Caenorhabditis elegans: one gene and its partners. Each later gene encodes a partner of the first gene's protein in a complex. Each region holds a gene or a part of one and is shown on either strand. Other genes may lie near its edges. The genes, in order: moma-1, chch-3 and immt-2.

Evidence for each region.
Region 2: moma-1 (region 1) and chch-3 share a complex: the UniProt entries of both Caenorhabditis elegans proteins name them as parts of the mitochondrial contact site and cristae organizing system (MICOS) complex.
Region 3: moma-1 (region 1) and immt-2 share a complex: the UniProt entries of both Caenorhabditis elegans proteins name them as parts of the mitochondrial contact site and cristae organizing system (MICOS) complex.

What each region holds. Positions count from the first base shown.
Region 1 is NC_003281.10:850,679-854,396, forward strand, and holds moma-1 (MICOS complex subunit MIC27), read right to left. Parts: upstream 1,719-3,718; coding exon 1,452-1,718; intron 1,156-1,451; coding exon 867-1,155; intron 818-866; coding exon 768-817; 3' UTR 653-767; downstream 1-652. Other genes in the region: rnp-5 (RRM domain-containing protein), read right to left, coding at 2,262-2,406, 2,459-3,100, 3,148-3,230; tag-51 (uncharacterized protein), read left to right, coding at 3,561-3,705. UniProt on the Caenorhabditis elegans protein: Sustains mitochondrial morphology probably through maintaining cristae morphology. May act as a component of the MICOS complex, a large protein complex of the mitochondria.
Region 2 is NC_003280.10:9,415,013-9,418,764, forward strand, and holds chch-3 (MICOS complex subunit MIC19), read left to right. Parts: upstream 1-2,000; coding exon 2,001-2,083; intron 2,084-2,146; coding exon 2,147-2,312; intron 2,313-2,361; coding exon 2,362-2,505; intron 2,506-2,553; coding exon 2,554-2,616; intron 2,617-2,906; exon of another isoform or gene 2,907-2,995; intron 2,996-3,050; coding exon 3,051-3,104; 3' UTR 3,105-3,304; downstream 3,305-3,752. Other genes in the region: gss-1 (Glutathione synthetase), read right to left, coding at 1-338, 441-544, 591-1,261, 1,314-1,418. UniProt on the Caenorhabditis elegans protein: Plays a role in maintaining mitochondrial morphology. May act as a component of the MICOS complex, a large protein complex of the mitochondria.
Region 3 is NC_003283.11:16,787,152-16,790,903, reverse strand, and holds the start of immt-2 (MICOS complex subunit MIC60-2), read right to left. Parts: upstream 1,638-3,752; 5' UTR 1,526-1,637; coding exon 1,502-1,525; intron 1,456-1,501; coding exon 1,318-1,455; intron 1,269-1,317; coding exon 420-1,268; intron 1-419. Other genes in the region: Serine/threonine-protein kinase dkf-2, read right to left, coding at 2,931-3,062, 3,740-3,752. UniProt on the Caenorhabditis elegans protein: Sustains mitochondrial morphology probably through maintaining cristae morphology. May act as a component of the MICOS complex, a large protein complex of the mitochondria.

The DNA of each region.
Region 1 (3,718 bases):
TGTGGAGTTTTTGTATTTTTAGGCTTAGGAAATAACCATTTCTAAGCCTAAAGATGGAAAATGGACATCACGTTTTATTAAAATGGATAATATTAAAATGAGGGGAAATAATACACAAATCGAAAAAAAAGTGGCGGGGTGATTATATGCCAAAATATGTACGAGCCACATTAAAATCATTTATAGCCATACATTTACACCCACTGAAAATTCAAAATTTTCTTGAAATTAAAATGCCCACCCATAATGCTGATCCCCCGCTGCCCTCTCGCCTTCTCACCAGAGATGTGCTGCACCTTTTTTGAAACTTTCGGAAAATTTACAAAATTTTTCTTTTTTCGTTGTTTAGACGAAGTTTTTATTGGAAATTTAAATTATTTTGATTTTGATTGAAAGTGAAAAGTTCCTAAAAAAAAAGTAAAAATATTTCTGTGTTCCAATATAAATTTTCCAATTTTATCAACAAAAAAATGTGCCGCGCCTCTCTTCTCACCATCCCCTAGATTAAATTTTTGCGGGTGACTTTCTCTCCCTTCCCCACCCTCGCCCGTTCTATATATATATTATATACATAAGATTTATTTTCTTAATTTGTCCAAAAAGTGCCTCCCTTTCTGTTTTTCTCAGTTTTTTTTTCTTCAAATTTTGCATAAAAATCGCATTTTTATTTCACTACTACAGGAACACTGGGTTCGGCGCACACACAAAAAAAGAAACCGCTAGACATTCGAGTGGATATTTTTTACACACAAACAATTATTTTCCAATTATTTCGGTGGGCTCAAGTTAGTTTTGACGATGGCAGATGGAGTTGGAGCTGAAAATTTTATTTATTTCTCTCTGATTTTCAGAAATTTCAAGCCTACATTCTTGGAAGGAATACCAAGTTTGTTCAGCATGAGCTCTTCCGGTCTTTGCCACGTCAACAGCCTCTATCGGATAACAAAAGGCGGCCATCGTGGCCAAGCCGATGGTAGTGGTGAGGAGACGTCCGACCGGGCCACGTTTCAGGCCTAAAACGAATCCGGCCATTCCACCAACGGTGATTGCTGCGGCTTTTGGAAGAGCAGTCCATTCTTCTGTCAGATATGCATTGCATTTGGTCGCCGCTTTTTTTGTTTGAGTCATCGCACAATCGACAACTTTGAAGCGTTCCTGAAACAAAAATCGGTGATAAAAATATATTTTTCACAAAATTAGTTTAATTTTTACTTTTACTCAATTTAATGATATTAAAAATTTTCAATTTCCTCTCGAAAATGGATATTTTCAATGTATTTTTTTCTTTTGTGAAACACATTCGGTTTTCACTTGAAAAAACTACAGATATCAAATAATTACTTAAATACAAAAAATTAGCTAAATAAAATAATCCAAACTCTTCTTTTAAAAAAAAACCAATTAAAAACGAAATATAATTTTTTCTCCACATAAAATCGCGTAAAACTCACAGCAACACGATCATACTCCTGCTCACATGCGATACGAATAGTCGCGAATTCTCTTTGAAGAGGAAGTGGCTCTTCTGGAAGGAATTTCTGCTTCAGTGGAGCATTATCTTCAGCATAAATCGGAAGTTGCTCAATCTTAATAGGTTTTGAATCTCCATTATTCGTCGTGTTTTTCGAGGTGACAAGTTGCCAGAATTGTCCAAAAACATTTGTCACTTGTTCACCGGCGTTTGAAATTGTCTCCACAATCGGCTTGTCTTGTGTCATCTGGAAAATCAAGCGGTAAAACAATAAAATAATAAAACAAGAATAAATATTTTAAAATTGATTAGCTTATTATAATTATTAAAAAACCATGAAGAAATAAGTATTCCTACATTTGTGGCGCAAAATATCTCGTAGCGCAGGCTCTGTGTCGATTTACGGAGTTTGTGTTTATTCACGATGCGCCTTTAAACAATTATTTAAAATTGATTTTCTTTGTATTTAATTACCACTTTTTCATAAATCGACACCGACGCCTGCGCTACTATATATTTCGCGCCAGGCTTTCTTGTTTTTTTTTTAAATATTTTCTAACATTTAAACCCCTCTGAGGACGGTTTTAAAATTAAAATAGATAATTAACAGGCAATTAACCATGTCTTTAACCAATCCAAATTACCCTTAAAACACCCAAAATAATTTATTAAAAAAACGAAAATTGGGGAGATCTTTTGCATAACAAAACAGAAGAATAATAAACAAAGGATGTTCAGAATTTGGACAGTTTAGAATGGGGTTTTAAAATGGAACGTCAGTAATGGAAGTTTAAGAACGCGATCTTCTGCCGGCTGGAGAACGAGAGCGGCTGGCACGGCGGAATCTGTTGGGCCCTCCAAGTGGCATATTGTTGGCTCCTGAGCCACGGCCGCCCATTGGAGAACGTCTGCGATGTGGTGGTGGACTGCGGCCTCTGGAATTTGATGAAAATTATCAAAATATACTACTTTTCCTTGATTACTTACCCTCTTCTCATTGGTGACATTCTGTCTCTTGGTGGCGGCGAGCGTCTTCTAAATGGAGAACTTCTACGCTGGAATGGGACAGATTGTCGTCCGATAGTCATTTCGACGTGAACAGCCATTCCATCGATTTGTCCTCCATCCATGTGCTTGATCGACTTTTCGGCGTCTTCCAAATTGTCATATTCAACGTATCCATATCCACGATGAACATGGTTATGGAAGCGATCTGGTGGAAGATCGACATTCTTGATGGCTCCGTAGATCGAGAAAATCTCCTCGAGGTGCGTTTTCAGAACATTTCTGCTCAAATTTTTGATCACTACACGCTTGGCCGGACTGGCTGATCTTGCTGCTGGGCTTCTCCTCGGAGAAGCGCGTCTCCTCTGACGGCTCCCGCTTCTGTCACGACGATCACGACGTGGTGGCGATGGGGATGGACGACGGCGACGTGGTGGTGATGGTGATGGTCGCATTGGGCGATCGCGATCCGCGCGTGCTCCTCTTGGCGGTGAACCACGACGGATTGGAGAACGAGAGCGTCCTCCACGAGCTGGTGGGCGGGTATCACGACGACGTGGTGAGCGAGAACGAGAACGGCCACTGGACGATGAGCTGGAGGAGCGAGATCCTGATGAACTACTTCTGAAATATCGATTATTAAGCTATTGTATGAAAATTGTAAAGCATACCCAGAAGATGACGATCCAGAGCTACTGGACGAGCTGCTTGAAGACGAGCGAGCCCTCTTTTTGGTTTCTTCTTTCTCAACCATACTGAAAAATTATTTCATATACTCGAATAGACATCAACTAAGTAAGAAAATTTTCACCGCGTGGTGTTCGAGCAGAAGAAGAGACAGAATGTTGGCTAAAGCGCTTACTTTTTTGAGTAAATAATTAACCAAAAACAAGAATTACGGATTTTCAAATAAATTTTTAATTGAAAAACAAGAAAAAACCTATAGAAAAACTATAGAATTGAAAATATCGAATCATTTTTCGAAGAGACGCGGGTGAATGATTTACGGTAAACAACGCGCGCGGTGGAATATCGGAGTGTCGTTGCAAAACAAAACACTTTCGTTTTTTTTTTCAATTTCAAAATGGACTCTGCAGAATCTGAACTTTTAGAAGAAGAAGAGCTCCCAGAAATCAAATATATCGACTCTGCAGAATTCCAAAATTTCGATAATAACGCTGATCAGCGTGAAATTCAGTTTCGATGGATGGAAGCATTTGAAACAAAAGGTAATTTTTTCCC
Region 2 (3,752 bases), on another chromosome or scaffold:
ACGCTCTTCTTCCGGAAGTTCTCGGAGCATTTGAACCATCTCATCACCGGTGTGCAATGCGGCTCCACCTTCAGTTTGTGGCTTCAGAACAAACGCTTCTGGATGTTTTTGAGCTCCAGCCACGACTTTCATAGTCACTTCATCAGTGTTCTCCAAAGCCCACATTCCTGCGAATGAAGCTCGAATATCGCGAGCTTCTCGTGGTTTTCCGATGAATCTTTCGAGTACTCCATCTTCAGAAAGAACCTGCTGGGTCTTCTTAGTATTTGCCACCTGTAGCCCGATCCATGGAGTTTTGATAGCGGTGGAAAGTTCCATACGCTCACGTGCTTCCCATTCTGAAACAAATCGGAAATGTTTCAAAAAACTTTCTAATAAGAATAAATTTACTAGAGTTATATCAGAAAAATTTAGCTAAACGTTGATAAAATTGTGCTAACCTTTTGTAGATGGATAATGATCAGGTGAGTATCCTGCTCTGAAGTAAACAATTGCTACTTGACGCCCATCAATCATCAAATCGCTTCTATCATTCAATGATAATCTGAAAGTTTTAACATAGAATTCTGTATTCAAATACAAAAACTTACTGTTCATAGCATTGTGTTAAATTTCTTCTAATAATACATGTCATCGGTACTCCTAACTTTTCAAGTTCATATTCCACGTGGCGTTGATCAATCTGATTTTGATTGACGTTTTCTACAACGACAAGAACCACAGCTGCTGGGTTCGAAAAGTGGGACCAGGCCTTGAATAAAGCTTCAGCGATCATTGGAATTGGCTTGTTTTCTGGAATTGCTCTTTGAATGACGTCATCGGAAATGTTCAACGCTTTAAGAACTCTGATATGCCATTCGGTGAGCCGTAGAGCATGTGCTCCCATTGACGAGGCGATATTGTTTATTTCAATTTGTTTCAGTCCATATTCCGCTGAATATTGATCCTTATGACACATATAATCAGATCGTTGAATCGCGAGAGTGACTGGTTGCTTGAGTCCTTGGGCTTTGACTTTCTTCAAGATCTCAACCATATTCCGTGTGAAATCATCAGTTTTCACGACATTTTTATGAATATCGATTAGAAAATCAAATTCATAAGCTATGAAGTGATAAAGACTTGCGAAAAGGTTCTGAATATGAACTGCTTCTTCAAAAACATTTTTCGGGAATGGAGATGGAAGAAGTGTTAATGGAGTAGTTTGACAAACTTCGCTGCTCAACTTGTCGGTTGATAGACGCATGACAAGCCCATTAGCCTGAAAGATGTTTAAAATTCATTGAAATTCGGAAATTAAGAAAAAAACTTACATGAGCCCAATCGTGAAGATCAGCGGTGAGCTCGTTGAGCTTATCATCTTCGAGCGGGAGCCTTGGAGCATTCAACAGCAAAATCCGGTCATCTTTTTGAGCCATTCTTGAAAAATTACGAATTATTTTTTCAGTTTTAAATAAATGCTTTCGAAAAATGCAAAACATGACGCGAGAGTGACAAAAATGAAATTAAGCGAGAATGAAATGAGAAAAGTGAGCACTGAAATCGTGATGACAAAACGTATAACGTGAGGTTTCTATGTTTTGTCATCATTTCTCTTTGAAGGAAGTCGGAGATATTGCTTTTCGAGTGGTAAAAGGAGGTTTGAACGAGTTTATGATAAAATCTTGGATGCTTATTTGTTGTAATTGACATGAATAATAGTTATTACATGAATTTAACAGGAAAATTTGAAAAAAAGAAAGGGATTGGCATGAAATTTGCTCCCGAAAACAAAGAACTCAAAGAGCAAAAATCATTTTGGTGCTAAACGTCACGTTTTGCGTCAAGGAGCTGCTGGCGCACATCTCGTGCACGAGTATTGCGCTAGCTATTTATTTTACGCTAATTTTTTGTTTCTATCAAAATTATTTTTCTACACACAAAACAACAAATAAACAATTCAATTTTTTATATTTAATTTCTCGTGTCTGTTTAAACTTTTATTAATCGATAATTGTCAGATGGGAGCATCCCAGAGTGCAGAACAAGAGGCACGTCCCGAAGTGGTGCGCATTGACCGAAATGAGATTCCCGAGGAGTACAAGTGAGTTTTTTACGTTGGGAATTCTTTTGAAACTAGGAAGTTTTTATTTATTCAACGTTTCAGAACCGTCGGTGTATCATCGGACGTTGTGAGCCGAGTCAATGCGACCAGAGTTGCCGGAAACGACGGAGAAAGTGACCGTCTCAGACAAGAATTGGCTCGAGAGCGTGAAGAAAAAGCTAGATTAAGAGAAGATATGGCTAAGCTCAGTCAGCTGCAACAGAGAAAGGTAAAAATCAAAAAATCTTTCCTGATAGGATTAAACTTAAAAGTTTCAGACCGCTGGAATTTCCGCCGCCCCAGTTTCGATTTCCGGAAATGATTTGGAGGAGAGAAAGAAAATTTTCGATGACACTGTTGAACGCGTTCAGAAGCAATTCTTCGCTTATCACCGTGAAAATGTGTGCCAGGATAATGAAAATGTAATTTTTAATTTGAGAAAGTTTTTGAGAATATCCAACATTTTTCAGGAGATTGTAAGATGTCTTCAAGAAAATCCAGGACGTGTTTTGAAGTGTGCTCCACTTACTGAGGTAAACTTGGGAAATTTTTTAGAATCACGAGCAAAGTAAAAAATTAAAATTTAAAAAAATATAAAAGTTGTGAAAATTGTTTTAAAACAATCACTAACCCACTTGAATTATTTGAAGTCTTGCATAACTCTCAAATTGGGAATAATTTTGAAACTATTTTTTTTGTTTTCATTTCAACTTAGGAAAAACTAAAGTATCTAAATACCAGGAAGGTTTTTTTTTTAATTTTTCAAAAAATTGAAGATTTCCGAAAATGAAAGTTTTGGCAAAATTCCAAAATTTATGAACATTTAGAGTAAATTTTGAAGGCATATCCTTTTCATCCCTCTAAAAAACACAAATACTAGTTCAATAAAACAAACAATTGTTTACATAGTTTGTAGGCTACAATTAATTAAATTGTGATACAAATTATTTTCTTTTTATAATTTCAGGCATTCGAGAAATGTGTCGGCGAGTTCAGGCAACAAGTGCTCAAGGGAAATTAAATTTCTTCATATCGATTTTTAAATACATTGTTTCATATTTCCCCACATTTTTTTGATCGTAGTGTTGTATAGGTGTGTGTGCGTGCCCCGTTTTCTCAAAACTTGTATTTCCCCCTCAGCCTCCCACCCAAAAACTTTTGCTTTTTTATTTCAAATTTTTTTGTTCCACGAACGAAACAATAAACTTCTAGGGAACTTTTAAATCCGTTTTCAAGTTATATATTCCAAAATCAAAACAGGCATTTCGCTCCTGTACCCATCTTTCCCCTTACTTAATTTTCAGATATTTTTCACTATATTTTCAGAATATTTAAAAAATCAGCTACGCGTTGTAGCAAATTTTTTTTGGTACACAAACACAGCTGATAACAACAGGACACACAACGCAGTGGGACTGATGATGGGCGGTTCCGTATTATCACCAGAAAAATGAGGTAAAACGGGTTATTTTTGAATAGATTTCAGATTTGATTCTCGCCAGTACACCTGACTAGGTTCGAATTTATTACTGTGTGGTCTTGTTGACTTTCAAGATTCTAACTTTTTAAAACTATTATATGGACACCTCGTTTACGTAGTCGTCTACAGATAACATGGTCTCGCCACGATCAACGGGTTACTGTAACTCTTGTCGATTTACGGGCCAAT
Region 3 (3,752 bases), on another chromosome or scaffold:
CCATTCTTGCCTGTTTTCAAAAGCCAAACCGACAATTTTCACATAACTATCGCTTTTTATTTTTTAGAGATACATAAAAACCACATTTTGCGGTTTAACTATTTGAAAACTGGAATTTTTCTTTTTTCTAGTGGAATAGTAAAATGTGATAAATTTGCGATTTGGCTATTAAATTTAGGTGAAAATAGTCCAAAATCAAGCATTTCAGCTGAAAAACTGTAATAAAACTTCTCCTCGGGGAGTACACGAGCTGCGTAAATCGACACACATAATTTTCAATTTTTTTTCGTTCTTTTTTCAAAATTTTCAGGAAAAAATGCATTAATTCACAGGAAAAATTCGAAAAATCGACTTTAGAGGAGAAATTGAGATTTAAACGCAATTTTCTTTACAACTATGCCAAAAAAATGAATATTTGCCTTGCTATCAATCAATTTCTGGCTGAGCTGATCAATTCTCAAGTGAGCATGAGCCAAAATCGTGTGCAAATCCGCTTTTTTGATCTTCATTCCATCTTCATAATTCAAATTCGGATGAACTGCTTTCAGTTCCATTTGGAATTTCCTGCGGCTCTCCGCTACACGATCACTGTAGTCATGCACGAAAATACGCTCCGAATCGACATGTTTCACGTTTGAAATCATCTCATCCAGCTCGTTTGAGAGCTTTTCAGCAGTTGCTTTTGAGATTGGAACCAGTGGATTCAGCTGAGTAGTCTCACCTTGACCGCCGAGGTTTGCCTCCGTGACAAGGTCAGCGACGGCATTTCTAGCCAATTTCTCGGCTTTTTCATCCTTTTCAGCGAGCCGTTTTGCCTTCAGATGAGCAACAGTCACTGAATCCCAATCTCCGTCTTTTCCAGCTTCAATAGCCTCACGAATTGTCTGAACGTGATGCTCAATAGCTCGAATCGTTTCCAATTTGGCGCTAGTCGCAACTTTCGTGGCTTTTTCGGCTTGAGTTAGGTGGTTTTTCAGGGATTCCGTGAGCTTTTCGTTCCTTTCCTGGGGATTCAGTGGAGTCTTCGCGCCGATGTATGGATTTTCGGGCTTTTTCTCGATTTTCTTTGGTTCAGTAGTCTCTTTCAGGTTCTCCTTAACTCCGATCAGCTCTTTTTTCACGGGCTTCGGCTCAAATGGCTTTGGTGGAACTTTCGGATCTGCGGAATATTGCAGAGGTCGAAGATCTTTAAGACGAGGCGCCGGCGGTTCTTCTTCTCCGATCGTGTAATTCAAAATAGTTCGAGAACCGGGAATCACGCCTTCTAGCTGGAATTTGATTTTTTTTTTGTTTTTTTTTAATTTTAAATTTTAAAACCTTCTTTCTGAACTCATTATCATAAGAAGCGTATCCAGCAACTCCTGCTGCACCAGCAGTTACCGCTCCAACAGTGGCTCCGACAAACTTGAGACCTCCCGAAGAACCAGTTGCTCGAGAAGAAGCCAGTCGCTGAGTCTGAAAGTTCCCGAATTTGATTAATATTTAATAAATATGAACATACCAATAAATTACGACTTCCACGCATGACTTTTGAATTAAAAATCTGAAGAATAACACTCAAAACCGCTCGAAATGATTGAAAAATTGGAAAAATTATATAAAAAAGATTTTTAAATCTGTTTGACGTGTCACGTACTTTCGTGTACACGGTCACGTCAGAATGCAGATTTCAAAGTCTACCGTAGTCCTGGATTGTGAACTCGATAGATTTTTTGACATTTTTTGGCAAATTTCAGCGAAGCAGAAGAGTCTTCATTGGAAAAATGGTTTCCTCTCAGCTAATTGATTTCAAATCGGCACCCAAGCGCGCACAAAAGCTCATCGGCAGCGACTTCATGGTGGTTGCTGCATAATTTAATCTGGCGTTCTAACTTTTTAGTTTAATCTGGCGTTCTAACAGCGAGATTTTCCAATATTTCAAAAACAATTTTTTAGGTTCGATTTCTAATTCGAAAATTTGAACTTCCAGAACAAAACAATCTAGCTGAAATAAATGTTTGTCTTAAGTATTTTCCAAAAAATGCAAATTTGCTTCAACAGGACAGCTAGATTTTCCAATAATTCAAAAACAATTTTTTAGGTGCGATTTCTATAGTTGAAACTTGGAAAATGATTTTTCTCAGAAATTTGAACTTCCAGAACAAAACAATCTAGCTGAAATAAATGTTTGTCTTAAGTATTTTCCAAAAAATGCAAATTTGCTTCAACAGGACAGCTAGATTTTCCAATAATTCAAAAACAATTTTTTAGGTGCGATTTCTATAGTTGAAACTTGGAAAATGATTTTTCTCAGAAATTTGAACTTCCAGAACAAAACAATCTAGCCCTAACAACTTGTGTCTAAATTATTGGAAAATCTAGCTTTTCTGATGGAACAATTTTGGAAGAAAAAATAAAAAAATTTGTTTCCTCATTTGTTTCGATCAAATTGTCATTGTTTGTTTGCAAAAAAATATAAAATATATTTTCAGTTACACCAATTCATTCAATAAAGAAAAAGTAATAATTCAATCAAAACATACACATATATAAATAAATCTTCGGGCGTATCATTAGACAAGAAAATCTGATGAAATTTCAAACATTTTTTGCGGTGAAAAGTGAATAGAAAAGAACAAATTTTGGTAAAAATTGGACAAATTTGGAAAAAAATCGGGAAATTTTCGAGGATCATATGGCAAATTTTGTGTGCGCTGGGTGGGGGTTGGATTCCGATTTTTTGGTGAAAAACGGGGAAAAACGTAAAAATTAGGAGGATTTTTCGACTAGGAATGTTTTAAGAAATGGGTGTGGGAACACAGGGAATGTGAGTGAGAAAATTTGGAAAAAAAATTATGAAACAAGAAAAAACGAAATAAAATTTAAATGGATATGTGACAAGAAGATGCAAAAAATATGAAAAGTTTCTCTGGGGGTCCTGCTGCTGGATATTATACGTAGACCGGAGTCACATTGTGCTCTTTTTCGTAAGCCTGCCACCTCACATCATCACTTTCATGAGTTACGAATCGTTGACCGACAGCTTTTTCCAGTACTCGTAGATCCGACCATAGGGTGTAGTTCTGAAAAAAAAAGTTTTTCAATTTTTTCGTAAAAAAATTAATTTTCGAAATTATTTTTTATTGAAAAACCAACAAAAAAAAAATGCATTTTTTGCAATTTGTATTATTTTTTTTCAAAGGATTTTTGCGCTTAAAACAATTTTTATTTATCCTTAAAAAAATGTTTAAACCGATTTTTCTGTAAGTAAATTTTTTTTCGGATTTTTGGATTAAAATTATTTTTTTTTGCAATTTTTCTTTACTTTTTTTGGATTTTTCTAAATTTCATATGATTTTAAAATGATTGCAAATTAAAAAAATACAATTTTTTTCTAAGTTTTTCGGATTTTTTTCCCGATTTTTTGCAGGTAAAACTTTTTTTTGCTATTAAAAAAAAATTTCAAACATTTTTTCTAAATTCGAAATTTTTTAAAGCCGATGTTTCGGATTTTTTCAAATTAAAAAAAAAGAGATTTTCGTATTTTTTCCTGATTTTTGTGTTTTTTCCCCAAATTTTGAAAATTTTAAATTTTCGTTAAAAAAATATTTTAGAATTTTTTTTCACAATTTTTACAGTAGAAAGTAAAAAAAAGTTCAGCTTTCAATTCACAGAAAAAATCTTTAATTTTCTTTTTTTAACTTTTTCAGCTCGAAAAAATTTTCGCTGCGAGACCCAAAAAAGGTCTCCATATGCCTACCTGCATCCAGATC